Linked DNA regions of Xenopus tropicalis. The protein of the gene in region 1 purifies or fractionates together with the protein of each later gene. This does not show direct contact. Links are inferred from orthologs where the notes say so. Each region holds a gene or a part of one and is shown on either strand. Other genes may lie near its edges. The genes, in order: hirip3 and ampd2.

The links.
Region 2: the proteins of hirip3 (region 1) and ampd2 purify together in Homo sapiens (co-immunoprecipitation; 3 studies listed by BioGRID and IntAct, with this or other methods). This does not show direct contact. The link is inferred for Xenopus tropicalis from reciprocal best matches to the Homo sapiens genes HIRIP3 and AMPD2.

Annotation. Positions count from the first base shown.
Region 1 is NC_030685.2:5,179,016-5,194,723, reverse strand, and holds the end of hirip3 (HIRA-interacting protein 3), read right to left. Parts: intron 13,955-15,708; coding exon 13,831-13,954; intron 13,628-13,830; coding exon 12,351-13,627; intron 12,052-12,350; coding exon 11,892-12,051; intron 11,768-11,891; coding exon 11,669-11,767; intron 10,299-11,668; coding exon 10,111-10,298; 3' UTR 9,985-10,110; downstream 1-9,984. Other genes in the region: dppa2 (developmental pluripotency associated 2), read right to left, coding at 1-9, 175-221, 1,550-1,739, 4,173-4,230, 4,945-5,001, 5,281-5,409; dusp14 (dual specificity protein phosphatase 14), read left to right, coding at 8,942-9,601. UniProt on the Homo sapiens protein: Histone chaperone that carries a H2A-H2B histone complex and facilitates its deposition onto chromatin.
Region 2 is NC_030678.2:71,737,358-71,753,231, forward strand, and holds the end of ampd2 (AMP deaminase 2), read left to right. Parts: intron 1-5,576; coding exon 5,577-5,687; intron 5,688-8,948; coding exon 8,949-9,212; 3' UTR 9,213-11,147; downstream 11,148-15,874. UniProt on the Homo sapiens protein: AMP deaminase plays a critical role in energy metabolism. Catalyzes the deamination of AMP to IMP and plays an important role in the purine nucleotide cycle.

The DNA.
Region 1 (15,708 bases):
AGTTTTTATCTGAAACAGATATTGTGTCCATGATTAATGACAAATATTGGTTTTCAGAAACTATGGCTGCCAAGTGTACGGTCCCTTTAAACGCACCCCCCCACTGATATTCCTGCTGCAGATTGTATTAACCCTTCACTTCCCCCCCCCCCCCCCCAAATTACATACAGGTACCTTGGAAGGCCGACCTTTGCTGCAAACGGCATTCCCTCTCCTGATTCCTGGGCAAGAGAGAAGGAGCGTCACTTTAACTTGCAGATACAACGGAACATTCTCCCTCGGGCAGTGATGGGGCCCAGGGTAAAAGCAGCCTCTTATTATCATTTGGTGCTGAAGGGCCACAGGTTGGGCAATAGAGATATTAAAGGAGAAGGAAAGGTAAAAACTATGTAAATACAGCCATAAGCACTCACAGAAACGCTGCACTGAGTCCTCTGTCAAAAGAAACACAGGATTTGTTGTTTTTGTTTTCCTGTGCCAGAGTCTGTGCAGCTCTCTCCTCTCCCCCCTCCCATAAGAATGTTAAGGACTCCCTCCTTTTGATCTGAGCCAATCAGCAGGAAGCTTCCTCATAGTCTTACAAACTGCACATGTACAGGGGTCTTGGTGCAGGAGTGAGGCATTATGGGAACTTTTTTCTGCGTTCTTTTTTTCCTATGAGGCTTTGGATCATCTGAACGGGAGAAATATGGGGAGACTTAAGGGCACTATTGAGAGAACTGAAGGTATGCCTGCAGCTTGAGATTAACTCTTTATTGGCCTTTCCTTCTCCTTTAAGTTCTATTGCCCCCATCTTGCTCTGGGTGCATGTATGGGCAGAGTGCCAGGCATATGATATATATATATATATATTATATACACACACACATAATCCCCAGTTTGCCTATTCCTGGCCAGTCTGGGAATGACAAGATATTCTGTTGCCACTTGGGCTCATTCCTATCCAGCTCTGCCTATTCCTGGCTCATAATTGGGAGGTTACACCCAGTTCCGACTGTGGAATCTCTGGGCTCGGAATGTGCCGAGTAAGTAACACACTCATGGCTTCATCACTCAGGCATGTCAGTGATCCTCTCCCCGGGGCGGGATTTCATTTCAGCTGCTGTGACCCCAGGGGAAGGGAAATGAATACGGACCATACCCTCCTGCTGCATCCTGGGAACCCTACTAATTGAAATGAGAAAGCTTAGCAAGTTAAGGGAAACAAAATGACTAAAACCGGTGATACTATATTTAGTTAAAAGGAATATTTAACAAGGTAAAAGCCTGGGTTTGGGGATAACACCGTGGGGCAGCAGGAGGGACAGGACACCATGATGGATTCAGTCAGCCCCCAGAATTGCTTGGTTTCCTATTCCAGCTCCTATCCCCACAGCCGTGACCCAATGTGATTGGAGAAGGGAACAAACACTTATGTGGGAAATATTTTTCACTTGTGCAGAAGTCACTGGGCGTGACACACACACATGCACAGGATCCTTACAGTGGGTGTGGGGGGGTGATCAAGTCACGGGGAAGGAACCTTCTGGAAACAAACAGAAGCACTCACCTCTCAAAGCACTCCTCACAGATGAGGTTGTCCTGTAGGCCGCAGGGAGTTGGAGTGGAGGAAGGAGTCAGGTGTAAGGGGATGCATGATCCCTCGAACGTCATACAGACGCGGCCGCAGCGGAGAAACAGCGGCTTCCAGCGACTCACAGTCAGCTCCTGCCCATGTACCACACACCAGCCTCGGCCTCCTGGGAATTAGATAGTGACCCACATACAGGGTTAAATATCTGCTCACACACAGCAGCACAGTGACTTCTAATATCCTTATCATACTCAGAGTTCCCTGTATAACTCAGCCTGCAGCCTTGTGCCTTTATATGGGCACAGAACCCCTCAGTGACTGCTAATATCCTTATCATTTACAGTAGGGGGTACATTATCCCTTATAATACATGAGTGATACTCAGAGTTCCCTGTATAACTCAGCCTGCAGCCTTGTGCCTTTATATGGGCACAGAACCCCTCAGTGACTGCTAATATCCTTATCATTTACAGTAGGGGGTACATTATCCCTTATAATACATGAGTGATACTCAGAGTTCCCTGTATAACTCAGCCTGCAGCCTTGTGCCTTTATATGGGGGGCACAGAACCCCTCAGTGACTGCTAATATCCTTATCATTTACAGTAGGGGGTACAGTATCCCTTATAATACATGAGTGATACTCAGAGTTCCCCGTATAACTCAGCCTGCAGCCTTGTGCCTTTATATGGGCACAGAACCCCTCAGTGACTGCTAATATCCTTATCATTTACAGTAGGGGGTACAGTATCCCTTATAATACATGAGTGATACTCAGAGTTCCCCGTATAACTCAGCCTGCAGCCTTGTGCCTTTATATGGGGGGCACAGAACCCCTCAGTGACTGCTAATATCCTTATCATTTACAGTAGGGGGTACAGTACCCCTTATAATACATGAGTGATACTCAGAGTTCCCTGTATAACTCAGCCTGCAGCCTTGTGCCTTTATATGGGCACAGAACCCCTCAGTGACTGCTAATATCCTTATCATTTACAGTAGGGGGTACATTACCCCCTATAATACATGCAAAGAGATTATTCCCTATACACCCCACAAGCACACACATATATATATATGCAGTAGGTACGTCAGGTAAGAGTAGACAGGACGGTGGATATTTATATAGCGGCCCCAGGTACCAATCCCCTTTCCCTAAAATAGCCCAGCGCCCTCACAGCATCACAAACGCCATCACGCACTGTTCCCATAGCAACCGACTGACTTCACTGGCCCTGACGTCATTGGAAGGGTGGTACGAGCAGCGCCGTGATTGGCTGATGCTTGCATATGCGGCTCAGCAGGTGGGGGCGGGGCATGGAGGGGCGTGGCCTAGCAGGGCTGTACCGTTGGATACAGCGGGTCAGGTGGTGCTGCCGTTATTGTAACCCGTTCTTCTCCGAAGGCTAGAGGAAGGTGCTGTCCATCTCAGGTAAACGTGTGGCCGGTAAATTATATATGAGCCCCACATAGGGGCACAGGGAAGCCCGGTATTTAGTATTGGGTCAGGTATATGAAACTGAAGCCCCAGGTACCCAGTGGCCAATATTGGCCGGCCCAGCAATGCTTCTGTATGGCAGCTCCCACAGCCCAACCCAGAGCCCTGCCCGGTGGGGTCCGGTCAGACAAGCAGTAGCCATGGCTGATGGTTCCATTGCTTTGGCTCTTACCCATTTGTGTAGTGCCCACACTGGCAGCCCATAGTGTAGCATTGGTACAGCTTGTATAAGCACATAGTATGGCAGCAACATTGCCCAGCCCTGTATCTGTATTAGCCCCAGTGTTCCATGGAGTGTGAGCTTAGGGGCCCAGTGTCTGTATTAGCCCCAGTGTTCCATGGAGTGTGAGCTTAGGGGCCCAGTGTCTGTATTAGCCCCAGTGTTCCATGGGGTGTGAGCTTAGGGGCCCAGTGTCTGTATTAGCCCCAGTGTTCCATGGGGTGTGAGCTTAGGGGCCCAGTGTCTGTATTAGCCCCAGTGTTCCATGGAGTGTGAGCTTAGGGGCCCAGTGTCTGTATTAGCCCCAGTGTTCCATGGAGTGTGAGCTTAGGGGCCCAGTGTCTGTATTAGCCCCAGTGTTCCATGGAGTGTGAGCTTATGGGCCCAGTGTCTGTATTAGCCCCAGTGTTCCATGGTGTGTGAGCTTATGGGCCCAGTGTCTGTATTAGCCCCAGTGTTCCATGGAGTGTGAGCTTATGGGCCCAGTGTCTGTATTAGCCCCAGTGTTCCATGGTGTGTGAGCTTATGGGCCCAGTGTCTGTATTAGCCCCAGTGTTCCATGGAGTGTGAGCTTAGGGGCCCAGTGTCTGTATTAGCCCCAGTGTTCCATGGAGTGTGAGCTTAGGGGCCCAGTGTCTGTATTAGCCCCAGTGTTCCATGGAGTGTGAGCTTATGGGCCCAGTGTCTGTATTAGCCCCAGTGTTCCATGGTGTGTGAGCTTATGGGCCCAGTGTCTGTATTAGCCCCAGTGTTCCATGGAGTGTGAGCTTATGGGCCCAGTGTCTGTATTAGCCCCAGTGTTCCATGGTGTGTGAGCTTATGGGCCCAGTGTCTGTATTAGCCCCAGTGTTCCATGGTGTGTGAGCTTATGGGCACAGTACCTGTCAGTTCCCCTGAGACACTCTCATCCTTCTCTGGGCTGGGAGTCTGGGGATCCTCCTGTTGGCACAAAAAAGGAGAGTGAGGGTCAGGGGGGGGGGGGTCGGGGCCAGCGTCAGGGGGGGGGGTAGGGGCCAGCGTCGGGGGGGGGGAGGGGCCAGCAGGTAGGGCACGATGGCAATATTAACACTTTGCGTTAATGCTGGCCAGGTTGTAGGTTGGCCAGTCCTATTAATAATGTGGGCCCCACAATGGGGGGGTTAGTAGCCTTTCTATGCAGTCTCCCTACAGTGGGACACACATTGGGCAGCCATGCTGGCTCATTAGCTCTACATGTACAGCTGGGGAAGGGCTGATTAACCCAGGGATCCCCAACCTTTTATACCCAAATGATAAGTGTTGGGCAGCAACACAAGCATGAAAGGTTCCTGGGGTGCCAATAAGAGCTACAATTGGCTATTTGGTTGGACAGGCAGCCTATAGAAGGCTCTGTTTGGCATTATACTGGGTTTTTATGCAGCCACAACTTGCCCCCAAGCCAGAAATACAAAAATAAGCCCCTGCTTTGAGGCCCCTGGGAGCAACATCACTGCTTTCACATTTCCTATTCCTCCTCCATTCTTGCATTTAAATAGATGCCTTGTCGGTAGGGTAATTTAGCCTAGCAACCAGATGCAGTATAAGGGCAAAAACAGAGCCACAGTAAAAGTGATGAAAAGAATTAAGACTACCACAGCCCCCCCCCCCCCCATGATAGTAAATGCCCAGACTCACCTGATTGGCAGCTGCCTGCTGGAAGTACTCCAGGAGCCTTTGCACCAGCTCTGCATTCTGGGCACAGGGACAGGGCAGAATTAATACATATTATATATATATTTATGCCTTTACACACTACACTATTAGGGTTGCTGCCTCACTGCTTTATAATGTAACATATAAATATCATGGCATTTAATGTAGAGGCATTGTGCATGGCTGTACAGAAACCAACACAGCCTGCAGTTAGAGGAACTAATACAGGGTGGGGGTTTAACATATATAAGGGGCAGCCCTACACACAGGCTCCTGGCATTGCTCATGTCCCCCCATGCCCCCGCGGTGCCCCCACACCTTGCCTGTCCCCCGCAGTCCGAGCCGCTTGCAGTGCTGCTGGAGCTGAGCCCGCTTTAGGAGTTGCAGGGAGGAAGGCGTCAGGTCCGGCTGTGGCGGCGCAGGGTTCTTGCCTTGCCGTTTGGGCATGATGGCTCCGGGGCTGGCACCTGGGTATATGCCCCGGGGTGGGGCAGTGGCTTCCAATCAATACCTGGAATGTATAGAGCCACACCTCAGCCCCCAGGGTAGGGAGGGGCAAGTCTATACCCAGGGTAACTGATTAATGCCCCCCTTGTATGTAGTACTTGGCCGTAACACCCTCACCTGTGCCCCCCAGTCAGTGCTCTGAGCCGAGGGGGAGCAGGGTCCCCTTATTACATCACCTAATTAGCAGCCTCCAATCTCAGGCCACTAATTACTCACTGTGGGAATTTAACTAGTTCTTTGCTGTGTGCCCTACTCCCTGCAAGCTATAAAGCATTAACCCCTGTGGTGTGGAGTTGCAACCAATCAGTAATTAGCTCTGCTCATTCAGCTGCAGGACGACTAATGAAAGCTGCATTCTGATTGGTCACCGCTCCTGTTTTGTGAGTTCCCTCTGAACCCTAATTGGCACAGCTGTGTCCAGCCAGGGATCTCTTGGCAAGTGATTTCTGTTGCCAAAACTACTGCTCCCAGCATCCCAGCTCAGCCCATAGGGGCAGGTTGGAAGTTGTAGTTCTGCAGCATGTGGGGTGCAAGTTGCCTGTCCCTGCAGCAGTTTAACCCTAATAATCAGCCATGGAGCATAGGGGTATTATGGGAGGGGCCACTTTAGCACTTAATAACAGAGGGGCGTTTCATACATAATGTGCCCACCCTATTGGGCCACAGGGCAACCCTCACATTTTGGCCCAGATTCACTAAGCAGTGCTACAGATTCCTGGCATAGGAAACACTATTTTTTTTATATATCATTATTATCTCCATCCATCATTGGGCAGGAGAGTTTCCCCTTTAATAATGCAGCTAAGCAATGGGCTGGCTTGCTGGGGCTGTGAGGCCAAGGGGCTGAATGAAGAGACGGGGGCAGCTCGGGGGCAGCTCGTATGGATTTCCGATCCCTGCCCTGATGATTAATTGCTCTACAATCTGCATCCCTGCGGCTTCCCCTGCCCAGCACCAGCCAGGAAAGGGTGCCTGGAATCCTATTGGCTCTTCATTGTCACTCTGGTGATGTCAGAAATCGAAGCATTTTCTGCTTCTTCAGGCTCCACCCATGCTTGTGACATCATAGTCCCCAAAATAAACTACTCCTGGCACAGGGGACCTGCAGGGATGGGGGGCACAGGGGGGCAGAGCTGGTAGTGGGTGATAATTATATATATTATGTTCAGGGATGGGATTGTGTTATACTGCACAGTGCTGCCAGGTTCCTGCCAGGGGCCACATTATCTTTAGGTGCCCTAGGGGCACAGTTTGGGCACACATAGAAAGTGTTTCCATGCCCATGTTGCCACACTACCTGCTGTCTCTCTATCTATGGGGCCCTAGGGTCTAAAGGAACAGTGGGGCCCCACACCCCTACCTTGCCCAGAACCCCATTCTGCTATGGGTGCTGCATGCCGTTCTGGTGCAGAGCCCTTAGGGTGCTATGCTCAGCAGTTTGTGTGGGTGGGGAGGCTGCCCATTCCCCTCCAGCAGCCAAGCAGTTAACGGAAGCAGCTCTCAGATCCCATCATGAATATGTATAATAGCGAGGGGCTTTGTGGCCCCCCCTTATCACACACGCCCCCCTCACACCCTCCCTCAGCCCTGACAGCAGCACCATCCTCTCTGCAGAGCGAGCAGATAAAGAGGGAGCGACGCAGAGAGACAGACGCAGTGCATGGGCAGACAGCTCCGGGACATGAGACAGCACAGCCCAGGTAAGTGCTTTTTATCCAACGAGGCCCCCCCATAGCATTCCAGCCTCACCCCCTACTGCTGTAAATAGCTCACCCCCTGGCTATGCCAACCTCCTCAGCTTGTAGAGGCTCCATGGCAGTGCCAGCTCTCCCTGCCCACTCTCCGCCATGTATGCACAGCACTGGTACTGATACTGGTACTGATACTGGTACTGGTACTGATACTGATACTGGTACTGTGCTGTGGCAGTTTCCCTTCTAATACTTCCCCTGGCATGGGCAGCTGAAGGCTGCAAGGGGATCCTGGGAAATGTAGTTTAACTGCAGGGTGACTTACCTGTAAGTTTGCTATGAGGGAAGGGGGTGCCTGGCTAAATGTGGGGTCACTTACCCCTAGTGATACACCACACCGCTATATTGCAGGCAGTGCCATTCTCCACTCGTTATAATTGCCCACCCTGCAATGCCAGCTGCCCTGCTGTACCCACAGCCCCTGCACCGTGCCACTGTATCTTGGCTATACATGCCAACCTTCCCTCTACCATATATGTTGGTGCCAGCCTTCCCTGGTATGTACCGTGCTGCCAACAGTGCCTTGTGGCCTAGAGCCCAGTGCCAATGAAGGATATGGAGACCCTGAGATATTCCCAGCTGGCAGACACACACTCCTGTGGCATTTGGGGTTCCCTATCTGATACGTAAAGGAGAATATGGGAGGGTGGATGCAACTCTCATACGTGCCGTGGGATCCTCGTGATGCCCAGTTAGTGCCAGGCTCATTGTACTCTGACATTGACTCGCCCCTCTCCCTCCCACCCGTCAGCTCTCCCCCCCACACTGCTCTGATTCACTCGATGAGTCAGTCTGGCCCATGGCTTTCTAGGGGGGCTTCCTCCGTCTGTGGCCTATTTTCTACCCAGACCCCTTCTGCCAATTCCCTCAGGTGGGGTCTCCCATGCCCCTGCCCCCCCCCCCCCCCCCAACCAAGCACTGAGCCCCCTGTCTCTCCAATGCCAATGGTTGTTCCTCTTGAGCCTTCTCACCCCCTTGGTGCCCCCACTCTCCACCGTTCTTACAGTGAGGTTGGAGTCCCTTTGGGCAGCGCTTAGTACTCAGCCTGTGAGTCACTCTCCTATTGGCAGCGAGTAGGTGGGCGCTCTCGGCAATACAGAGTGTAGGTGGCACCAGTGTACGGACTGGCACTGCTTTACACACAGATTCAATTACTGACAGCGGCACGGCTTGTGAAATTGCTTCTATGTGGGCTTGTTGGATTGCAAGCTCCTTTGGGCAGAGCCCTCTTTACCTCCTGTACCAGTTGCTTTGTATTTAATTCTGTATGTTCAATTGTGCAGCGCTGCAGAATATGTTGGCGCTTAATTATAAATACATGTTAATATTTCATAGGATTCTTTCTGTCTCTGCCCAGATTGCACCCAGTGAGCCGTTGGCACCAGGTCTGTGCCCAGATTGCACCCAGTGAGCCGTTGGCACCAGGTCTGTGCCCAGATTGCACCCAGTGAGCCGTTGGTAGCAGTTCTGTGCCCAGATTGCACCCAGTGAGCCGTTGATACCAGGTCTGTGCCCAGTTTGCACCCAGTGAGCCGTTGGTAGCAGTTCTGTGCCCAGATTGCACCCAGTGAGCCATTGATACCAGGTCTGTGCCCAGTTTGCACCCAATGAGCTGTTGGTAGCAGGTCTGTGCCCAGGTTGCACCCAGTGAGCCCATTGGTACCAGGAGACTTTCAGCCGTTCTTGCTTGGCAGCTCAGCTCCTGGACCCCCCTTCTCTCTATGCCCCTGCAGCTCCCCACAATGAATTTCCGTAGCCACCGGCTCCTCCGCCGCTCCCCGCCTCCCCCCCCTCCAATCTCCAGCAAGCCGACGGCAATCAGCGGTACCAGCGGCACCGGGCTCTCCAGCCTGAGCAGCATCGCGCAGATCAGCCCCTGCCTCTACTTGTCCAGCGGGAACGCCGCCGGCAGCCGCCACTTGGTTTACTCTCGCAACGTCACCTGCATCGTGAACGCCACGCTGGAGATCCCCAACTCCAACTGGCCAGACGTGGACTACATCAAAGTGCCGGTGCCGGACTTGCCCCACGCGCCCCTGGCTTTGTACTTTGACACTGTGGCCGACCGCATCCACCAAAATGGAAAGCGGAACGGCAGGACATTAGTCCACTGCGTAGCCGGGGTGAGCCGCTCCGCCACGCTCTGCATTGCCTACCTGATGAAGTACCACCGCCTCGCCCTGCTCGATGCCTACCAGTGGGTGAAGACCAGGCGGCCAGTTGTTCGGCCAAACATGGGCTTCTGGCAGCAGCTGATTCAGTACGAGAAAAAGCTTTTTGGCAAGAACACTGTGAGGTTGGTGCCATCTCCCCTGGGCCTTATCCCCGACATCTACGAACGGGAGACCCGCAGCCTCATCCCAGTGTGGAATTTCAGATAGAGACCCCTCCCGTCTCCTCTGGGACTTGGCAAGGGGACATCACCTCTCCCTTTTATACTGGGGGGGGGGGGGGGGGCACAGCCTAGCTTACAGGACCTTTTTTAATCCTAGGATAATATTTTTTAGGTTACACACCTTAATTTGCCAACTTCCATAAGGGTGAAATGGCTACGGGCAGTGCCAGGCAGCAGGGAGTGTTGTTGTTTGTTACCCTGTGTGTAGAGTTGCACAAGTTGCCCCGTAACGTGCCTCCCGGCTGTGTGTGTGTGCCCCGTTGCTAGGGAGACTGGGCGGGGGAAGAGGAGGGGGGGTGCGGGGAGGCACAGGCTGGGCGCACAAACATAGATTTCTAAATAAAAACTTATTTATCGTACGGAATCCTGTGTTTTTAGCATGAAACATTTATTTACAAAAATACATATAAAAATAACGTAGAACAGGGTGAAAAGACAAGAATGGAGCAACACTGAGGCATGCTGGGATACGGGCACCCACTGGGCGAGCCACACTCACTCACTCTCCCCATCATCGCTGATGATTCCCTTCAAGGAGGACCAGTCCATGGGTTTCTTTTTCCGGGGTGGGGCCTCCTCGCCCTCAGAGTCCGACGCCACCGCCTTACGGTATCCCGTGGGGGAGGAGTCCCGGGACGGGGAGTTCTGGTAAGGGTTCCAAGTGTTACGGCGCCTTGTGCGGCCTGGAAGGTGGGGGAGGAAAAGAGAGTAAGCTCACAGGGCTAGTCATGGTGTATTTGACATAGTAACATAGTAAGTTGGGTTGAAAAGAGACACACGTCCATCACGTTCAACCATAATGCCTATATATAACCTGCCTAACTGCCAGTTGATACATTATTACTTTCTGCCGCTGTCCCGACCAGTAACAAATGAGAATAACTTTATATATGGAAGTTTAGTCCTGGTATGTCGGTACCAGCCGGATCTGTGACTCCCGGGAGCGCAGCCAGTGTTGGTCACATGATACCTGCAGCCTTTATACTGACAAGGCAAGATTGGGCGAGGGCAACACCCCTAACTGGCGTGCCAGCAATGCTGAGGTCATGTGACTATCTTCCCCAGACCCAACGGAACCATGGTAACCCATGTATAACAACGGTAAATACCGGTTGGTCCTGCAGAGCGACACCCTGAGAGAGTTTGTCTCCCCGAATATAAAGAGCTGTACAATATTCACATCTCAGCAGGGTCATTTCCCCTTTAAATAAGGCATTAGCTGAAGGTAACATGCTGAGGAACCAGTTTATACCCTGCACAGGCTCTGTAGGGACACACGGGGCAAACAAACTGTCAGCGGCTGCAACTGCCGGCGGCCGAGGCCTCGAGTGTGAAAGAGAAAATTAGAACTCAACCAATATCAACAAATATAATTTTCCTCAATGGAAAATAAAAAGCAGTTAGTTTCCAATATACAATTGTTGAGCATTTTCAGTGCTATTCCCCACACTGTTGGTTCTGACTACTGCGACGTGCTTCAGTGGTACATGCAGTCAGAACCAGCTATATATATATATATTGGAAGACTGCTTAGATATCATTATTTGGGTTCAGTTACCCTTTAAACATGTCCTTAAGTAGTCACCCTGAGGCAGCCTGTATCAGCACTTTAGGGAAGGGTTGGGCAGTGCAGTACAATTACAGGGGGGGCTATTATCTGACACAGAGGAAAGGCATTTGCCCCGCAGCACAATGATTGGACGATGGGATGAATAAGGTGCATATAATGATGATGATGATGATGATGATAGGGGAGGCAGAGGGAAGTACTCACTCTGCTGGCTGGGACTACATCCTACACAGCTGGGGGGAGCCCGAGGGATCTGTCACATGACTCCTGCCCCCCCTCCTGCGATAAAGGGGAAGTATCACGGAAACCAACAGGTAATGAATACAGTACATAGGCAGGGTCCCCCCATTCCCCAGCAGCACCCAGACACCCTCAGGGATGCAGAGAGTTATAGCACGAGCCCTACAGCCACTGGCAGGATGCAGAGACCCCCACTGGGCTCCCCCAGACTGACCCATTAATCCTACCCCCCCAGCAACTTACCAGCTGTTTCAATGATGTTACTGGTATCCAGTTCCGCCAGTTCTGCTGCCTCCTCTCTCTTCATTCTAACAATGCGGCACTTGGCTAGTGATGGCTGCCCTGCGCGGAACAAACATTGCCTCTTATGAGCAGCTGCCATTCACCCCACCACTCTCTGTGCCCACCCCCTTCTGCCCAACCTCCAGCCCCAGCAAGGTAAGTCATCCCCCCACCGTACCCTCACCTTTAACCCCCAACTCTTCCAGCTCGTTCTTCAGGAGCTGCACCATGGATTTCACCGAGCGGCAGTCCTGGAAGAGCTTCTTGTAGTTCCTACGCGCCCCGCAGGCAACAATGTAGCGCTTCAGCCGCGCCACCGAGGGGTGGTCTTCCCGGGATGAACTCTAGGGGGGATAAAATGGAAGTCAGGCCGTGTAGTTCAGATACAGGGAAGGATTTGGGCTCAGGGTCAGTTGGAAAGGCTAAGGATATACTTGTTCCTTGAGAAACAGAATCTTTGTGAGAAGTCTTTAGTTCCCCTTTAAAGGTAATGCTCATATTTAGCCCATATCAGGCACCATATAACACTTCATATGGGTATGGAATATGGCAGGGGGGTGCCACGGGGATCCCCAGTGCAGATATGGCAGGGGGGGCACAGGGATACCCAGCATGGGGGGGGCACAGGAGTGGCACAGCTCACCTTACTCTGCTTCTTGCTGCTTTTCTCCTTGTCGCCATCAGATGCCACAGAGGAGTCGCTCTCAGTTCCACCATCGTTTGGTTCTTCTTTCTTATTGGCCGATTCCTCACCAGACTCCCTGTCCTTGGCACCTTCTCCTTTCTCCTTATCTTCATCCTCGCTGTCTGTCTCCTCCTTCTTGTCTGGCTGTCTCTTCCTTTTCTTGGCACTGCCGCTTTCCTTATCTGACTTGGCCTTGCGCCCATTCGCTTTCCTTTTCTTCTGTCCTGCGCTCTCTTTTTCACTCTCACTATCGGAGTCTCTCTCGGAAGCACTGCTCTCTGCACTCTCGCTGTCTGTCTCTTTCTTCGGAGAGTTCTTTTTAGGCATCTCATCTTCGCTCTCAGATTGGCTCCTGCCATTATCGCTCTCTCCCTCGCTATCGGCCTTTCTCCGTTTCTGCGCTGCTTTTACCTTCTCTCCCCCTTTCTGTAGTGTAGCGCTCCCTGCACTCTTGGCTCTCTTAGCTTTGCTCTCTTCCTCACTCTCACGGTCGGTTTCCAGCCTGGTGTCTGTCTCTTCTGCTTCATCCTCACTGTCCGAGCCCTTTGATTTGCCAGCTGTTCTTTTGCTACCAGTCTCATTCTTACTGGGACTGTCTGAAGAGTCCATTTCGACTGCCTCCTCCTCATCACTATCGCTCTCTTCTTCACTGTCTGTCTCTTTTTTATTCCTTCGCTTTGCTGGCTCTTTGCCTTGCGGCGCTCTCTTGGGGCTTGCGCTCTCCTTTCTCCTCTGTGCAGGTTTCTTTACTTTGCTTTCTCCCTCACTCCCACTGTCTCTCTCCTGCTTTGGCTTTTTCTTTTGCCTGGTGTCTGTCACTTCTGTTCCACTCTCACTGTCTGACCCCACGCTAGGCGCTCTCTTTCCCTTCTTTGCTGGCTTCTTCTCCCTCCCACCTTTCTGATATTTCCCAGAAGCCCCCTGTTTGCCAGACTTTGGCTTGGCCTGTGGATCACTGTTGGATTCCTCCAATGGCTTTTTCTTTACTGTTCCCTTTGTGCCACTGCTGTCGGACACCTTACTCTTTTTGGTGGGTCTCTTTCGTGGTGGGCTCGGCCCCTCGGAATCACTGTCACTCTCGGTCTCATTACTCTTGCTGTGTGATCTCTTTTCCTTCTCCGACCTGCTCGCAGTCTGTCTCTCAACAGCTGCCGCCTCAGAGGAACTGCCAGACAGTCTTTTGCGGTCGCTCACAAAGGGTTCAATCCCAGAATCCTCCTCATCAGAAGCATGGCCTGCAATATAAGCGGCTTATTACCATAAAGGCGGTCATACCTTACGGAATCTGACCCTTTGGCCAGTGGGCCAAACACACGGCTACTATATGAGCCCCTGTACTACCACCACGAACAGCAGCTCATTTACAGATACCCCATAAGAACCTGTATGAGACTGCTCATGGTGGGCTTCAGCTGGGACATACCCCAGTCTCCCTTACCTTCTGTGGGCTTCCGTTTCTTCCCTGGGGGCTCTCTGCCCCCTTCACTATCAGGTTCAGGAATCTCTCTGCCTCTCTTCTGTACCTTCCTGATCAGTGGCTCCTCGTCGCTGGACGACTCCTGCTGCAGAAACACAAGCCTTTAACTACAGAGTGAAGCCTAGGGATAAAGGGTTAATAGTTACAGCCAAGTTGCCCCCCCCGCCCCCCCCCCCCACCATGGGCCACAGAACACTGAATAGTTAGCCACGTGCCTGGGTTATTGACAAAGAACAGGAGCGGCAGTAACACAATGTAGGCTGGCACTGGGGCCACCTATAATGCAGGAAAAGCAGAGCTTGTGGCTAGTAAATGTGGCTAGTAATACAAATGGCTATATGTAACCTTGCACAATAACTCTGTGTGGGCTGAAAAGCTGTCCTCAATTCCTAAGAATTCAGCAGTCTTGTGCGCCCCCTAGTGCTTCCCCCGGGCAGTGCAATTGCCTGAGACTGAGGATCCCCTACGGCCCATGTATGACGATTATGTTTGTCAGTTTCAATATAACGGTGCAGCAGAGGCTGCCCAATGGCACTACCCTTACTAGTGGGATATAAGTCTGCCAGTCAGCTACAGGCTGTTAATGCTAATGGCACAACAGGGCCCCCCCCAAAAAATGATGTATTGAGTCACTCAACCCATAGGATCTTTCTTTAGCCATAATCTAGACATGCCAGTATGATCACTACAGAAAATGGACAATGGGTACTCCATTAACCCCAGACATGCCAGTAAGATCACTGTAGAAAATAAATAATGAGCACTGAATTAACCACAAACCTGCTAGAAAGATCTATGCATTGGCATATGGGCTGTTTGTTGCCCCACAAAGCCCAAGTGCATTGATGGCAGTGACATGTATATGGGTCAGTCCCCCCTATAGAGCCAATGGGCAGTGACATGTATATGGGTCAGTCCCCCCTATAGAGCCAATGGGCAGTGACATGTATATGGGTGGGTCCCCCCTATAGAGCCAATGGGCAGTGACATGTATATGGGTGGGTCCCCCCTATAGAGCCAATGGGCAGTGACATGTATATGGGTGGGTCCCCCCTATAGAGCCAATGGGCAGTGACATGTATATGGGTGGGTCCCCCCTATAGAGCCAATGGGCAGTGACATGTATATGGGTCAGCCCCCCCTATAGAGCCAATGGGCAGTGACATGTATATGGGTCAGCCCCCCCTATAGAGCCAATGGGCAGTGACATGTATATGGGTCGGCCCCCCCTATAGAGCCAATGGGCAGTGACATGTATATGGGTGGGTCCCCCCTATAGAGCCAATGGGCAGTGGCATGTATATGGGTGGGTCCCCCCTATAGAGCCAATGGGCAGTGACATGTATATGGGTCAGCCCCCCCTATAGAGCCAATGGGCAGTGACATGTATATGGGTCAGTCCCCCCTATAGAGCCAATGGGCAGTGACATGTATATGGGTCGGCCCCCCCTATAGAGCCAATGGGCAGTGACATGTATATGGGTGGGTCCCCCCTATAGAGCCAATGGGCAGTGACATGTATATGGTCAGCCCCCCCTATAGAGCCAATGGGCAGTGACATGTATATGGGTCCGCCCCCCCTATAGAGCCAATGGGCAGTGACATGTATATGGGTCGGCCCCCCCTATAGAGCCAATGGGCAGTGACATGTATATGGGTGGGTCCCCCCTATAGAGCCAATGGGCAGTGACATGTATATGGGTGGGTCCCCCCTATAGAGCCAATGGGCAGTGACATGTATATGGGTGGGTCCCCCCTATAGAGCCAATGGGCAGTGACATGTATATGGGTGGGTCCCCCCTATAGAGCCAATGGGCAGTGACATGTATATGGGTGGGT
Region 2 (15,874 bases), on another chromosome or scaffold:
ACACAAAAATTATCAATGGAAATCAAATTTATCAACCCATGGAGGTCTGTATTTGGAGTCACACTCAAAATTAAAGTGGAAAAAAAAGACTACAGGCTGATCCAACTTTGGTGTAATGCCCTTAAAACAAGTCAAAATGATGCTCAGTAGTGTGTGGCCCCCACATGCCTGTATGACCCCCCTACAATGCCTGGGCATGCTCCTGATGAGGTGGCGGATGGTCTCTCTTAGGGCATACCTCCCAACATTTTAAAAATGGAGGGACAAATTTCTTGACCACGCCCACTTTTGTGGCCACACCCCCATTACCACACCCCATTTTTTTTGTTTAAAAAATACTCCTTTTATATAGTTGAAATGGTGGGATCAGACACAAAATGTACTATACCTAAGGAAAACAATATAGCAACTCCTACATATAAAATACAAATATAGAGAGAAGGCAGTCAGTTATAAGTGAGTTATAACTATGTACCAGTTTTGCCCCCCCCATACACAGTGCCCCCAATGGCCCAATAGACAGTACCCCCCATACAGAGTGCCCCCATAGACAGTACCCCCATACACAGTGCCCCCCATAGACAGTACCCCCCATAGAAAGCACCCCCAATTAACACCATAGACAGTGCCCCCAATAGCCCCCGTAGACAATGCCCCCATAGTAAGTGCCTCCAATAGCCCCCATAGACAATGCCCCCATAGTAAGTGCCCCCCATTTCCCCTTATAGACAGTAGCTCCCTTACACAGTAACCCCCCGCCATACACAGCCGCTCCTTCTTCTTCTGCGGCTCTGCTCCTTATGCGGCAGCGACAGGCCCAAATATAAGGTTGCGCCCCATGCACACATACCATGGGGCACAACCTTATAAAAGGGCCTGTCTCTGCCGCACAACTTGCAGAGCAGCAGAAGAAGCTGACATCGCTGGTACAGCTAGCGCTATAAAATCCGGGACAGTTGGGGGGTATGCCTTAGGGATCTCCTCCCAGACCTGGACTAAAGCATCCACCAACTCCTGGACAGTCTGTGGTAAAACGTGGCGTTGATGGATGGAGCGAGACATGATGTCCCAGATGTGCTCAATTGGATTCAGGTCTGGGGAACGGGCGGGCCAATCCATAGCATCAATGCCTTCGTCTTGCAGGAACTGCTGACACACTCCAGCCACATGAGGTCTAGAATTGTCTTGCATTAGTAGGAACCCAGGGCCAACCGCACCAGCATATGGTCTCACAAGGGGTCTGAGGATCTCATCTCGGTACCTAATGGCAGTCAGGCTACCTCTGGCGAGCACATGGAGGGCTGTGCCCCAAAGAAATGCCACCCCACACCATTACTGAACCACTGGCAAACCGATCATGCTGGAGGATGTTGCAGGCAGCAGAACGTTCTCCACGGTGTCTCCAGACTCTGTCACGTCTGTCGCATGTGTTCAGTGTGAACGTGCTTTCATCTGTGAAGAGCACAGGGTCTCATGCTACCACTAGAGTGAAAGCACCGCCAGCATTCAAAAGTGACCAAAACATCAGCCAGAAAGCATAGGAACTGAGAAGTGGTCTGTGGTCACCACCTGCAGAACCACTCCTTTATTGGGGATGTCTTGCTAATTGCCTATAATTTCAACCTGTTGTCTATTCTATTTGCACAACAGCATGTGAAATTGATTGTCAGTCAGTGTTGCTACCTAAGTGGACAGTTTGATTTCACAGAAGTGTGATTGACTTGGAGTTACATTGTGTTGTTTGAGTGTTCCCTTTATTTTTTTGAGCAGTGTATATATATGTATATATACGAACAAAAAAGCATGAGCCGCACTCACAGGTCTTAGTGAACAGATAGAGAAGAATTTATTATAGCATCAAACTAACGTTTCGGCTGCTTCCACAGCCTTTATCAAAGTTCACTTTGATAAAGGCTGTGGAAGCAGCCGAAACGTTAGTTTGATGCTATAATAAATTCTTCTCTATCTGTTCACTAAGACCTGTGAGTGCGGCTCATGCTTTTTTGTTCGTGAAAATTTCGCTAGGACTCTGCACCCAGGCATCCTATATTTTTCATTAGACGTGAGTGCCTGTTGCTCTATACTTTGTTTATATATACAGTGGTGTGAAAAACTATTTGCCCCCTTCCTGATTTCTTATTCTTTTGCATGTTTGTCACACAAAATGTTTCTGATCATCAAACACATTTAACTATTAGTCAAAGATAACACAAGTAAACACAAAATGCAGTTTTTAAATGAGGGTTTTTATTATTTAGGGAGAAAAAAAATCTAAACCTACATGGCCCTGTGTGAAAAAGTAATTGCCCCCTGAACCTAATAACTGGTTGGGCCACCCTTAGCAGCAATAACAGCAATCAAGCGTTTGCGATAACTTGCAACAAGTCTTTTACAGCGCTCTGAAGGAATTTTGGCCCACTCATCTTTGCAGAATTGATGTAATTCAGCTTTATTGGAGGGTTTTCTAGCATGAACCGCCTTTTTAAGGTCATGCCACAACATCTCAATAGGATTCAGGTCAGGACTTTGACTAGGCCACTCCAAAGTCTTCATTTTGTTTTTCTTCAGCCATTCAGAGGTGGATTTGCTGGTGTGTTTTGGGTCATTGTCCTGCTGCAGCACCCAAGATCGCTTCAGCTTGAGTTGACGAACAGATGGCCGGAAATTCTCCTTCAGGATTTTTTGGTAGACAGTAGAATTCATGGTTCCATCTATCACAGCAAGCCTTCCAGGTCCTGAAGCAGCAAAACAACCCCAGACCATCACACTACCACCACCATATTTTACTGTTGGTATGATGTTCTTTTTCTGAAATGCTGTGTTACTTTTACGCCAGATGTAACGGGACACGCACCTTCCAAAAAATTCAACTTTTGTCTCGTCGGTCCACAAGGTATTTTCCCAAAAGTCTTGGCAATCATTGAGATGTTTTTTAGCAAAATTGAGACGAGCCATAATGTTCTTTTTGCTTAAAAATGGTTTGCGCCTTGGAAATCTGCCATGCAGGCCGTTTTTGCCCAGTCTCTTTCTTATGGTGGAGTCGTGAACACTGACCTTAATTGAGGCAAGTGAGGCCTGCAGTTCTTTAGATGTTGTCCTGGGGTCTTTTGTGGCCTCTCGGATGAGTTGTCTCTGCGCTCTTGGGGTAATTTTGGTCGGCCGGCCAGTCCTGGGAAGGTTCACCACTGTTCCATGTTTTTGCCATTTGTGGATAATGGCTCTCACTGTGGTTCGCTGGAGTCCCAAAGCTTTAGAAATGGCTTTATAACCTTTACCAGACTGATAGATCTCAATTACTTTTGTTCTCATTTGTTCCTGAATTTCTTTGGATCTTGGCATGATGTCTAGCTTTTGAGGTGCTTTTGGTCTACTTCTCTGTGTCAGGTAGCTCCTATTTAAGTGATTTCTTGATTGAAACAGGTGTGGCAGTAATCAGGCCTGGGGGTGACTACAGAAATTGATATTGAAATTGAAAATTGAAATTGATAAACCACAGTTAAGTTATTTTTTAACAAGGGGGGCAATCACTTTTTCACACAGGGCCATGTAGATTTGGAGTTTTTTTTCTCCCTTAATAACGTAAACCTTCATTTAAAAACTGCATTTTGTGTTCAATTATGTTATCTTTGACTAACAGTTAACGGTTTTTGATGAGCAGAAACATTTAAGTGTGACAAACATACAAAAGAATAAGAAATCAGGAAGGGGGCAAATAGTTTTTCACACCACTGTATATATATATATGTATAGACAGTGAGTTGGTGCACACCACTAACAATGATTATACCTGGGTACAAGAGCAAATATAGTACAATAAAACAAAAAAGTGTCAGCACTCACAGGATTTAAATTATTTGAAAAAAAGGTACGTTTCATTACAGACCTCCTTTTAGTATATATATATATATATATCAGTCCTGATGGTGTCTGCACTCCAAGGCTTTTAGTATTCTGTGGGGTGCACAGCCAAAATCTGAGTATTTAGCATGAAATAATCCATGGCCGGCACACCCTTAAAATTCAAAAACATTTTTATTGAAAACTCATTGTTTAAAAACCAACGTTTCGGTCCTCATTAGGACCTTTATCAAGGATATATATATATATATATAAAGACAGCTGTGTCTGCAGGGGGATTCCTGGAACTGATAGGGTTAATATTCCCTCTCAATAGGCTAATTAAGAGGCAGCTAAGGGAGGAGTTACCTGGAGAGGTACAAAGTGGTGTGCTCCCACACCTAGGGGTCACTCAGAAAGGGGGTCACTCAGAGTGAAAGGTCTCTCAGAGAAGGGCACAAAGTAGGAAGGCTGCCTGCCTGTGTTAAGAACTCCCAGAAGGGCTGGGGGTGCGGCCTGCCACTGCAAGATGCAGAGGGAGCTGTGACCAGGTGTATGAATGCTAAGAAGAGTCAGCACGGCTTAATGAGAAGCCACAACATCAAGGCTTAGTGAGAAGCCAAAGTGTGCCAGAGGCTGGTGAGCTGTTACCCCAGGAGGGGAGAGTCAGTGAGTGAGTAGCATTTGTGTTCAGGGGTGTGAGAGTCACCATGGTTGTGTGAAACTGGGGATGGTGAGAAACCCTGAAAAGGTTCCAGAGTAGGAAAGTGAGAGCCCAGAGTTTTTAATAAGTTTGTTAAAACTGCTGATGAACTGTGTTCCTATTTTCTTTATGTTGGGAAAAGTTTGCCCCAAATAATCCTGTGTTTTTGCCAGAAGACATTGTGTTCCTGTCTCCAGATCCTCTGCTTACCTGCCTACCATATCTAGTTTCCCCCAAAGTGTACAGGCAGACATGTCACTATATATATATATATATATATATATATATATATTTATATAATCGCAGCCACAGAGAGCACTCACGGAACCAGATCTGTATATATCAATCGACAGGCTTTATTCAGTTCCCATAACAAAACTTTACACATTGGCCGTGCACTCCAGGTCAGCATAAAAAGCCGCAACAGTTAGTATTAAAATCGATCAACCTTTATTTGCACATCAAAAACACAGCTGGAGGTCTTACGCGTTTCGTGACAACACACGCGCCATCACATTGTCATAAGACAAATAGTAGCTTTTACCTAAAGGCAATTTTTTCTCTGACATCATCAGTGACATTTACATCTGCAAACAACAAATGTGCACTGTAAAGTTCATGCAATCAAGAACGCAGGCTTACACAAACTGAACTTAAAAAAAGTCCTGCTTCGATTGAGCACTGCAATGGTTGAGCTGAGCACAGCACAGGTTAGGAGAAGAGCTAGAGCAGAGTTTCTGTGGGAACTAGCAATGCTGTCTCTTCATTGGCTGCTAGACTGGAGGGTGTGTTTCGTAATCTGAGATGATAAGAACTGAGCATGCTCAGTAGCCAACAGCCAAAGTCAATTTCTAAGTGAGGGAGCCGAGTGGGTTAGAGGAGGAGAAGGAACCCTAAGTGATTAAGGGGATGCTGCTGCCTTACTATTAACTGTTGAAAATCCGGAGTGGCAGATTTCATAAGATCTTAGAAAAGTTAATTACCCCAAGAAAAATTCAAGACTTTTGTTTGCCAATGATTTCTTTTTCTCATGCAGGAACCTCTAATGGAAGAATACAGCATTGCAACCCAAGTGTGGAAACTGAGCTCATGTGACATGTGTGAGCTGGCAAGAAACAGCGTGTTAATGAGTGGCTTTCCTCACAAGGTAAATACATTTTACCAAAATTTGACCATACATGCCACAACACCATTCCTCACACTTAAATGAAGCAACAAGGAAACTACTGGGAGTTTGTTCTTAATGAAATACAAGATACAAAATATACAGATTTCTCTTTTAGGCATTCAAGTGAAAAGAAGACTCTGGGAATATAATTCAAAGAAGCCCCCAGAAAAACATGCCATTTTTAGTCTAATTTTGTTTTGAAATCACAAACAGCTCAGGTACAGCTCTTTTAGCTGCTTCCAAGTCTAGCATGAAGCCCCCTTTTGTCTACCGTGCATGATTTCTGCCTCTGCACCAGGCCTGGACTGTTACTCCTTTGACTTTTCTTCCAAAAATAATAATAAATGCTTAATAAAAAAAAAATAATTCTAAGCAACTTTGCAATATCTATTCATTAAACATTTGTAAGTTATATAATTGCTATTAAAAGCAGTGTTTGTCATTTTCTATTCTCTGCCTTGGTGGCTCTGACTTTTGAAACAATGTAAAATAAGCCAGCTGATTAACAGACCTGTCCTGGCTGTAGGAGACTGGCTTTTGCAACATTGTTTAAATATTCAAATCCAGGAGTTAAGCAAATGCAGCTTTTAATAGTAAATACATTTAGAAATAACTTAAAGCATTAAATATTTTTAATTCATAATGGAAAGTCGGTTAGAAAATATTTTTTTTGGGTTGACATGTCCTTTAACCTTTCTTATTCTGTACTTTCTTCCTTATGTCTCTTTTTGTCTTCCTTTATTATGGTTTTCTGCATACTGTCTACCTCTCTCCTCACCTCACCCCACCTCTCCCTTATCCCCTGTGCATTCCTTATGCTTTGACTTTTGTGCTTCTCCACTTTTCATCTTTTTCATCTGGTCTGTAGGACAGACCATGGCTAATTTATAGGCAAGCAAAGCAACACAGAGCTGAGCTGGGGCAGTATGTTACTAATAAGATTATGGCTGTAATTTTGAAGCAATCTTGTTCAGAGACTTTCCTTCTCCTTCAAACGCATCTTTTTTTCATTTCTCTTCTCTGTAGAGAACAAACCACTAGAATGGATGAATCCATCAAACAGAGACAGTTTAATAAGAGACTGGTATTTTTAAACTTGTTTTAAAGCAAAAGTAACACTAAAAAATTTTAAGTAAAAAATCTATTCTACCCTGCCCGAATAATTGCCCTATCCTGCAAACCATTTATTATTTTGAATGCTTTAGTACAAAATACCTGTTAAAACTTGACTTCCGGTCATTTAAAGAAAGGCGATACGGCGATGCAGGGGAAGTATCAGGGGAAGCATCCACTATGCGGCGATCGATTGATGGAGCCTAGCCTGGCTCCTTCAGTATAGGCTAGGCTCGATCAATCGATCGCCACATAGTGGGTGCTTCCCCTGCATCGCCTTTCTTCAAATGACCGAAAGCCAAGTTTTGACAGGTATTTTTTACTAAAGCATTCAAAATTATAAATGGTTTGCAGGATAGGGCAATTATTGGGGCAGGGTAGAATAGATTTTTTACTTAAAAAATTTTAGTGTTACTTTTCCTTTAATGCAAGCTTGCTGTAGTAGGTTTTCGCACAGCAATTGTCAGGACAGCAAAACGTTATTTAAAGGACACAGTAACAGTAACACCAAAAAATTACAAATAATAGTATAAAGTACTGTACTGTTTTAAGCTTTTAAGCTAAGTTGGCTACACAGCAGATTGTTTATTAGTCTTTCTTAAGCAAACACACCAGTTTTACCAGTGCAGGTCAACAGTACTTCATATTTTAATTACTGTAAAATGTTGTCAAAAGGCAGTTTAAAGGTTGCACAACATTTCACACAGCAAAATAATGCAAGAAAACACTACAGACCTTTCGTCAAGTAACAGTGTGTAGAGGACTTTGTGTTCGATTCACAAACATCACTCTCTGTCTTTCTCAATAGTCTCTTCTCTGTCTGTCTCAATAGTCAAACAGGCCAGCCAGGGTTTTAAAGTTTCCTGGTTAGATTGCTGAGACAAATTAGACCCAGCTGGTTATTCTGCAGCTCTTTAATCTACTATACTTACTTACGCCCTTCTGTATGCATTTATGTGTGTTTTGTAATAGCAAACATTCCCCATTTCTTCAATTCTCTCACTGACTCACAAATGCAGATGTTAGTTAAAGCAGGGGTTTCCAACCTTTTTAGCCCCGCGGCCCGGTAGGAGGCACAAAATCTTTTACACGGACCGAGGGGGGCGGGGCGCGGCGCGTAATACATGCGATGCGCTGGGGGGGAAGGGGGCGCTGCGGCCCACTGCCATGCCGTCCGCGGCCCGGAACTGGTCCGCGGCCCGGCGGTTGGGGACCCCTGAGTTAAAGGAAACTATAACTCAAAATGAATACTTTGCCAACAGATGGTTTATATCAAATGAAGTGGCTTATTAAAAAATCATACCAAACTGAAATATTTATATCAATAGATATCGCCCTTTAACATCTTTTACCTTGAGCCACCATTTTGCAATGGTTTGTGTGCTGCCTCAGAGATTACTTGACAGGAATTAATGCAGCTCTAACTGTCACAGGAAGAAGTGTTTGAGTAAAAGGCACAACTTTAATTGGCTGACATGACTTAACATGTACACATAGTTTGTGTGCAATGATCGTAGTACTTAAAATGGGAGTCTTCTATTTAGGGTTACCCAACTGCACATACTGCTAAAAAAAAAGTATATTTTTATCAACTAAAAAAATGAGAAATGCTAGAGTTTTAGTAAATCTGCCCCCAAGTCTACTAAAGGTAATTTAAGCATTAAAGAAACCCAATAGGATTGTTTTGCCTCCACTAAGGATTAATTACATCTTAACTGGGATCAAGTTTCTCGGTAACCTTAAAGTTATGTAATACAGGTATAGGACCTATTATCCGTATTGCTTAGGACCTGGTGTTTTGTGTCTATCTGGTATCTTTCCATAATTTGTATCTCCATACCTTAAGTCTACTAAAACATTATTTAAACATTTATTAAACCCAATAGGATTGTTCTACCTTCATTAAGGATTAGTTATATTATAGTTGGGGTCAACTGAACTGTTTTATTATTACAGAGAAAAAGAACATTTTTAGAAATCTGAATTATGGTAGATGAACTTTTTGGATAATGGGTTTCCAGATAATGGATCACATACCTGTATATTACTTTTTTTTTCAAAATGTGTGTCAGTTTTTTTTTATTTGAGCACTTGCAGACTCTAAACTCTCTACTTTTTCTGCAACAGGTGAAAAGCTATTGGCTTGGACCAAAATACTCACAGGATGGACCTGAAAGCAATGACATTCGCAGGACCAATGTTCCTGACATTCGTGTTGGCTTTCGATATGAGACTCTCTGTGAAGAACTGACACTGATCACGCAAGCTTTGCAGAGTGAGGAGCTTGAACCCATCCCTGAAGAGGCTCTGTTCATGGGGGTTGAGCTTGGTGGGGAAACCAAAGGAGAGTCTAATAGCCAGAGTATGGAGAATGAGAAAAGACGACCCTAAACAAAGCAAATACTTTAAAAGGGGGATGGGAATAGAGAAACTTTAATGACCATAAGCATGGAGAAGCACCAGTAAAAAAGATGAGGCAATGGCCTTTGGAGCATAAGAAAGAAAAAGAAACATAATTTTTTTTACTGTGGTTGTACCTGTAAAAGAAACAGAAAGAAGAGGCAGATAGTCTATATGAGTGGTGAAATGTTGTTTGCAAGTATGTAGCAAATGACTGAAGAAATCATGGAAATGTGTGCTGCTCTAAAGAAAACATAAATATGTTAATGTAACTATAGTTCTGATAAATGTTGGAAGAAAACCTACACAGTAAACAAGAGCTGAAATTAAAATATATGTGAAAGAAGCAGAGGATGGGGAGATTAAACACAGATTGCCTCCTCCACTTGTGAGGAGGTAGGTGCCTAAGCATGAATAATATTGAGAACCCTGCAATATTATGTTTATAAATATATATATATTTTAAAAACTATTAGAATGAGAAATTTATCATATTGTGTAAAACCTCTGGTCAGAAATGTTTAGAGTGTAAAGACAGTGACTATTATGCACAAAAGAGTGAGGCTTTTATGCTTCAGAAAGAAAAATATCTAGTATTACTGTCATTTTTTCTGAAAAGGTAATCAGCTGTAGAGACAGTGTCAGTAAAATAGAGCAAACAGTGTGTAATGGCAAAATGTTGGCACTGGGGCAATTGTTTTTAACTGAAGAAAGCTGGGAAATCAAATAATTTTTAGGCTGGAAAAAAACTCTGTGATCTGTTTATATAGTAGAGGAAAAAGTTGCAATGATTTTGTAAGGTGTAAAATTAAATGTCTCAAGCAATGTCTTATTTTAGCATGTTCTCTGGTATGCTTGCCTGTTCTGTTTTTAGAACATCAGTTGTGTAAACCTCCCTGCTCATGATAACTCACCGGCACACTTGGGGGCATTTTTATTATGTTGTGTAAAAAAACGGCAAGAAAATTTGCCACACATCTCCAAGCTTCGCTATGTAAAATCAGCATAAAACACAGCATAATAAATATGCCCCTAGATCTTGCCACAACTGCAGTGCAATGAACATATCCAGAAAATCCTAATCCACACTATGGGGGATATTTACTAATGGGGGGGTTCTGATTTGGATTTTTTAGCACTGAAAAAAAAGGTTGCAACTTTTTTCGTGATTTACTATGTGACAAAACTGTGCAAATTCTATATCTGAAAATACCCCATCAAAAACCCGTTGATCATGTAGACGTCAATGGCAAATGTCTATTCCCTTCTCTGGAAGACCTTTCTTTGCTTTGAATTGAGGAATTGAGATTTTGGACTTTTGATGCTGGCTTTTGTGTGGCAATTTAAAAATATCAGACATTTATGAAAATTAGTTTATTCAAATGTTTTTTTTTTTTTAGGCTGGGAGAAACTAGAGTTGTAGTAAATCTGCCTCCACAAGTAGGATAAACTGCTTAAAAATCAAGAAATCTTCAACCAAACCATATTTGCCCAAAGTGTACATTGTGGTAAAAAATTTCCCTGTAGTGTGTGCCTAAAACATATAAAAGATTGAAAAGAGCATGTGGATGCCATACTAATCATCTGTTATGTACCTGAAATCCTAGACCTACTACTGTGCCTCTGTACTACGGTGTTATATCACAAAAACAAGTTGGAATAAAACAATTCAATTATGTATTATGTTAGCTATAGTGCATTGTGACATTTAAATCTCTACACAATTCCTCTCACACTTAATCATCCACATGTACTTTGCACTTATGTTGTATATTGACTTGATACACTTTGTTGTAAAAATATACTAGTATTACATATATTGTTTTTCTACCCAAACCAAAAATCAGCAGTGAGGTGACGTTGTTGTGTAATGTCACTGAACATTTTGACAAAAAATGTAAAATATTAAAAAGCCCAACAATACTGGCACAGTTCTTTTAAAAGTTATATTTTGCTGTATAAAACTCCATGGTTGCTTTTTGTTTTTTTGACATCTTGGACCAAAATATTTTGTGTTTTTTTTCTTTTGTGTGCAGACTGTTCTTATTTGGCTGAAAATGAACAAGAATCACAGGGGTTGTACTACAGTATGATATCTGTTATCCAGAATTCTTGGGACCTGGAGTATATTTATGCTAGCTTAGGTTACATGAAATAGAAAATAGTGGTGTTGTTTTTAGGAAAAAAGAGCAACTGAAGAGCAAATGAAGAATTTTTTAAATAGGTTTTCCACCCTAAAATTGTTTTTGCATTATAAAAGTAAATGTGATACTAAGCAGTTTTCCAATATACATGAGACTAAAACTGTATCTGGTTCTTACCAGGTCTTTTAATCATCTTTTGTCAGCTGGCAACATTGTTTCAGGAGTCAGAGCCTGGAAAGCTAAAATGTACACAGTCAGAAAAATAATGCTTTTAATAGCAATTAAATTTACAAATTACGTCAAAATATCAAAACTCCATAATTGATGTATATTGAAAAGTTGCTTAGCATTCAGTTTCTTTCATGGTGCAAAATAGTTTTTTGGGTTTAGTTCTACTGTTGGACACTATAAAAAATGGCAGTGTAATTTTTTGAGACCTTCTGGATAGTTGATACCATACCTGCCCATATGGTTGCCACCTGAAGAGTATTGTATTGGCCTGGTTGGTAAAAATGATGAAGCGGTGGTCCACCTTTAAGTTAACTTTTAGTATGTTATAGCATTGCCAATTATAAGCAACTTTTCATTTGGTTTTCATTGTTTATTTTTTATAGTTTTTGAATTATTTGCCTTTTCGTTGGGATTTACTGACAGCAAAAAAAACTATTGCTCTGTGAGGCTACAATGTTATTGTTATTGTTACTTTGTATTACTTATTTTTGTATTCAGGCCCTCTCCTATTCATTCACTCCCTGGTTGCTAAGGTATTTTGGATTCTAGCAACCAGATAACTGCTGAAACTCCAAACTGGAAAACTGTAGATCAAAAATTTAAATAATTATTAAAAAACGACAAAAAATGAAGACCAATTGCACACTGTCTCAGAATATTGCTCTCTATATCATACTATAAATTAATGCAAAGGTGAATAACCCATTTAATAGGGGAAAAAAGCAAAATATATGAAGGCTGTTTTTTCCAGAAAAGGTGGCAACCCTACCTCAAAAATGCTGCTATATTTTTAAAATCATCAGTTCATTAAGCCTGCATGAGAAATAAAGATTAATTTGAATTGAATTGAAAATGTTACATTTGTATTGCCTGGCTAAACCAAATATTGTTTTATTACCTATGTGTCTAAGCTTGTTGGGGTTTGCAACATACAGCAGCAGAAACAAGAATTTGCAATTAAATATATACAAGTGAAGGCTCTTTATACATCTTCTTACATTCTTCTGTAATCAAGTGTGATATTTCTTCATATCCCAGTAATTGCATGTTTTCCATAATCTTCTTTACCATTTATCATTAATTACTGTACAACTTGGATATGTGCAAAAACATCATAACAAATAATATGTATAAAAATATTGATACAATTTTCTTCTATCATGAATGCAACTCTAGGATGAATTTTTGCCCATTATCTAGCAATGCAAATAGTAATGTGGATGGTAGTTACAGGGACCTGGCCCAGACACTTCAGTTTTCATGTTTCCACTCCCTTACTGAGCCCTTGAAAGAGCATTATCACACTACTGGTAAGCTGTGGTGTTGGGCAAGGAAAGCACAAGCACAGACAGTCAGTTGGTTTATTCATTTTTTTATTTTTTGAATGTCTTTATTCTATTTGTAATTATTTATATAATTGCAAATATCCAACCTAACTGGCCAGGAATTCGTAAATGGCATCCAGTGTCTGGTACATATCACAAATTACTTCAGGTTGGAAGGTGCTGATCCCTCAGTGGACACTGTGCACCAGGTGGAATATATTTTGGAGGGGCCAGGGAGTGCTGGTGCGTTCTTCTCTATGTACACATCACAAAATGGCAATGAGAGGTAGAGGGGGGAAAGGGTTGTTAGAGTGGAGAGGGAGGGTGTTGTAAGAGCTTATAATCTCAAGTTTAAAAGTATCTTGTTCCCTGATATACTTTAACCAGGTAAAAAATTGTTTACTCATCTGGTCCATATCTTTTCACATTTTTGGGGGGTGGGGAACCTCTTTAACGTTGTTATTAAGCAGAGCAGGATATTAAAATTTACCATTTTAAATATAATATTGAGGGAATGTCTGATTTCCATTTGATGGTAAAAACATTTTCAGGATAAACAAAAATTGTATAGTAGCTTTGTCTTATTGAAATGAGGAACTTTATAAATATAAATATTTATAATCATTTAAGTGCAGCAGTACACTGAGTAGATGTACAAAACCTAGACAAAGGAAAGCAAATGATCTGCCCAGTGTACCTGTGTGAACTGTCTCCGGATATCACATCCTTTATCTTCGTGTATACAGTTTGTATTAAGCATTGGCCTTGAAGAGATACCAACACCAGAAATTAAATCTATTTTTTTTTTTATAATTTTGCCTCAAAAATATTTGCCCAGTGCTTTTACATTACTTAAATGATCCCCCATGTTCCTCTGAGGGGGCTGCCATATTTGTGCAGCAGGAGTCCGTTACCATTAGAAGCTGTAACTGACAGGCTGAGAAGGGACAATGCACGCTAATTAACGCAGCACGCTACTTGTCGCACACGCTAATTAACGCATGTGCGCTACTTATCGCGCACATGCCATATTAGCCATACACACCATTACGTTGGTAAAACTACTTTTTTTGAAAATGACCATTTCCCTGCAAACTGGAGGATGCATCACTCTAGGGCCAACACATACTTGAATAAATCACACTGCAAAGTACTTATTAGGGCTGATTCACTAAAGTGCGTTCATTTTTATAGCATGCTTTTTTGAGTTAAAATAGACACAAAAATGAACTCTAGGCATCACTGTAGGGCCAACACATACTTGAATAAATCACACTGCAAAGTCCTCAAAAACTCATGAACTGTACTTTTCTATAATTGCCACCTGCCCCAAGTAGGTGTTAATTTTCACATATACTAATGCAATATTTAGCGTGTCTTAGTGTTTGTGAATCATGCGTTAGTATTATATCTGCACTTTAGTGAATCAACCCTAATATGTAAATTGTGATTGGTGGTTGGTGGGTGTGCTCACTTTTTCTAACCTTGAGTCGAAGTCACCCAGTGAACAGTGGGCACCCTGGCATAAATAGTGTGAGAATGGCAGCATTTTAAATTTAAACCAATAAAATTCAATGGATGAAATCTGATTGGCTGTTCGTGGCCCAACCCACTTTTCCTATTTTTGAACTTCAGTCCCCCAGTGACCATCTTGCAAAGTTTGGGAACCCTGACATAAATAGTGTGAGAAAGGCAGCATTTTAAATAAAAAAAAATCAATAGCTGAAGTATGATTGGCTGTTGGTGGCTCCACCCACTTTTTAAAACCTAAAAATGTAGTCCCCTGACCCTGGTGTTAATACTGTGAGAATGGTAGCAGGTTGAATTTCCCCATTGAAAATTAATAGGTAAAATCTGATTGGCTGTTGGTGGCTCCACCCACTTTTTCTACTCTGAACCGCGGTTACCTGGTGACAAGCTCTGCAAAGTTTGGGGACCTTAGTTTTAATATTTAAAGAACGGCAAAAGTTTAAATTTAAACATATGAAGTCTATAGGTGAAATCTGATTGGCTGTTGTTGCCCCCACCCACTTTTCAAAACTAAAACTGCAGTCCCCTATTGACAAACTGTGAAAAGTTTGGGGACCCTGATGTTAATAAAGTGAGAATGGCAGCAGGTTGAATTTTCCCATTGAAAGTCAGTAGGCAAAATCTGATTGGCTGTTGGTGGCTCCACCCACTTTTTCTAACCTTGAACCGCAGTTACCTGGTGCCTAACCCTGCAAAGTTTGGAGACCTCGGTGTTATTACTGTGAGAATGGCAGCAGGTTAAATTTCTGCCAAGTCAATAGGTAAAATCTGATTGGCTGTTCACAGCTCTGCCCACTTTTGGGCATCCAACAATCATCATATTTTCATTCAGGCTGACCCCATAAGTATGTGGTTCAAGTTTGGGAAGTGTAGTCTCAAGGCAGTAAGATTGGCAGCAGTTTCAATTTCCCCATAAAAGTCAATGGGTGAAATTTGATTGACTGTTGTTGGGCCCTCCCATTTTGGGGTCATCCAACAAATGTTGCTGTTTCATTCAGGGTGACCCCATCATTATGTTATTCAAGTTTGGGGGGGTGTAGCTTCAAAGCTGTAAGTGTGGCAGCAGTTTGAAAATCTTCCCTGTCAAAGTCAATGGGAAAATTGGGGGGTTCGGCGCCACAAAACGACGGGGGGTGGAATCACTTAGAAAAGCACAAGCAACCTCAGGGTGAAGAAGTGTGGAGAGTTTGGGTGTTGTACCTCTAAAATTGCAGGAGGAGTAGCGTTTAGAAAATGGGGGGTGCTAAGAAGAAGAAGAAGCGGAAGAATAAGCTGAAGTTGAAGAACATTATGTTGGGTTTTTCAACCCAGCATAATTACAGTACTTACAAAAGCAGTCCTATCAGCAAAAAAGGTTCAACATGACCTATAGGTAACTTAATACAGGACTTGTTATGCAGAATGCTTGGGACTCGGGGATTTC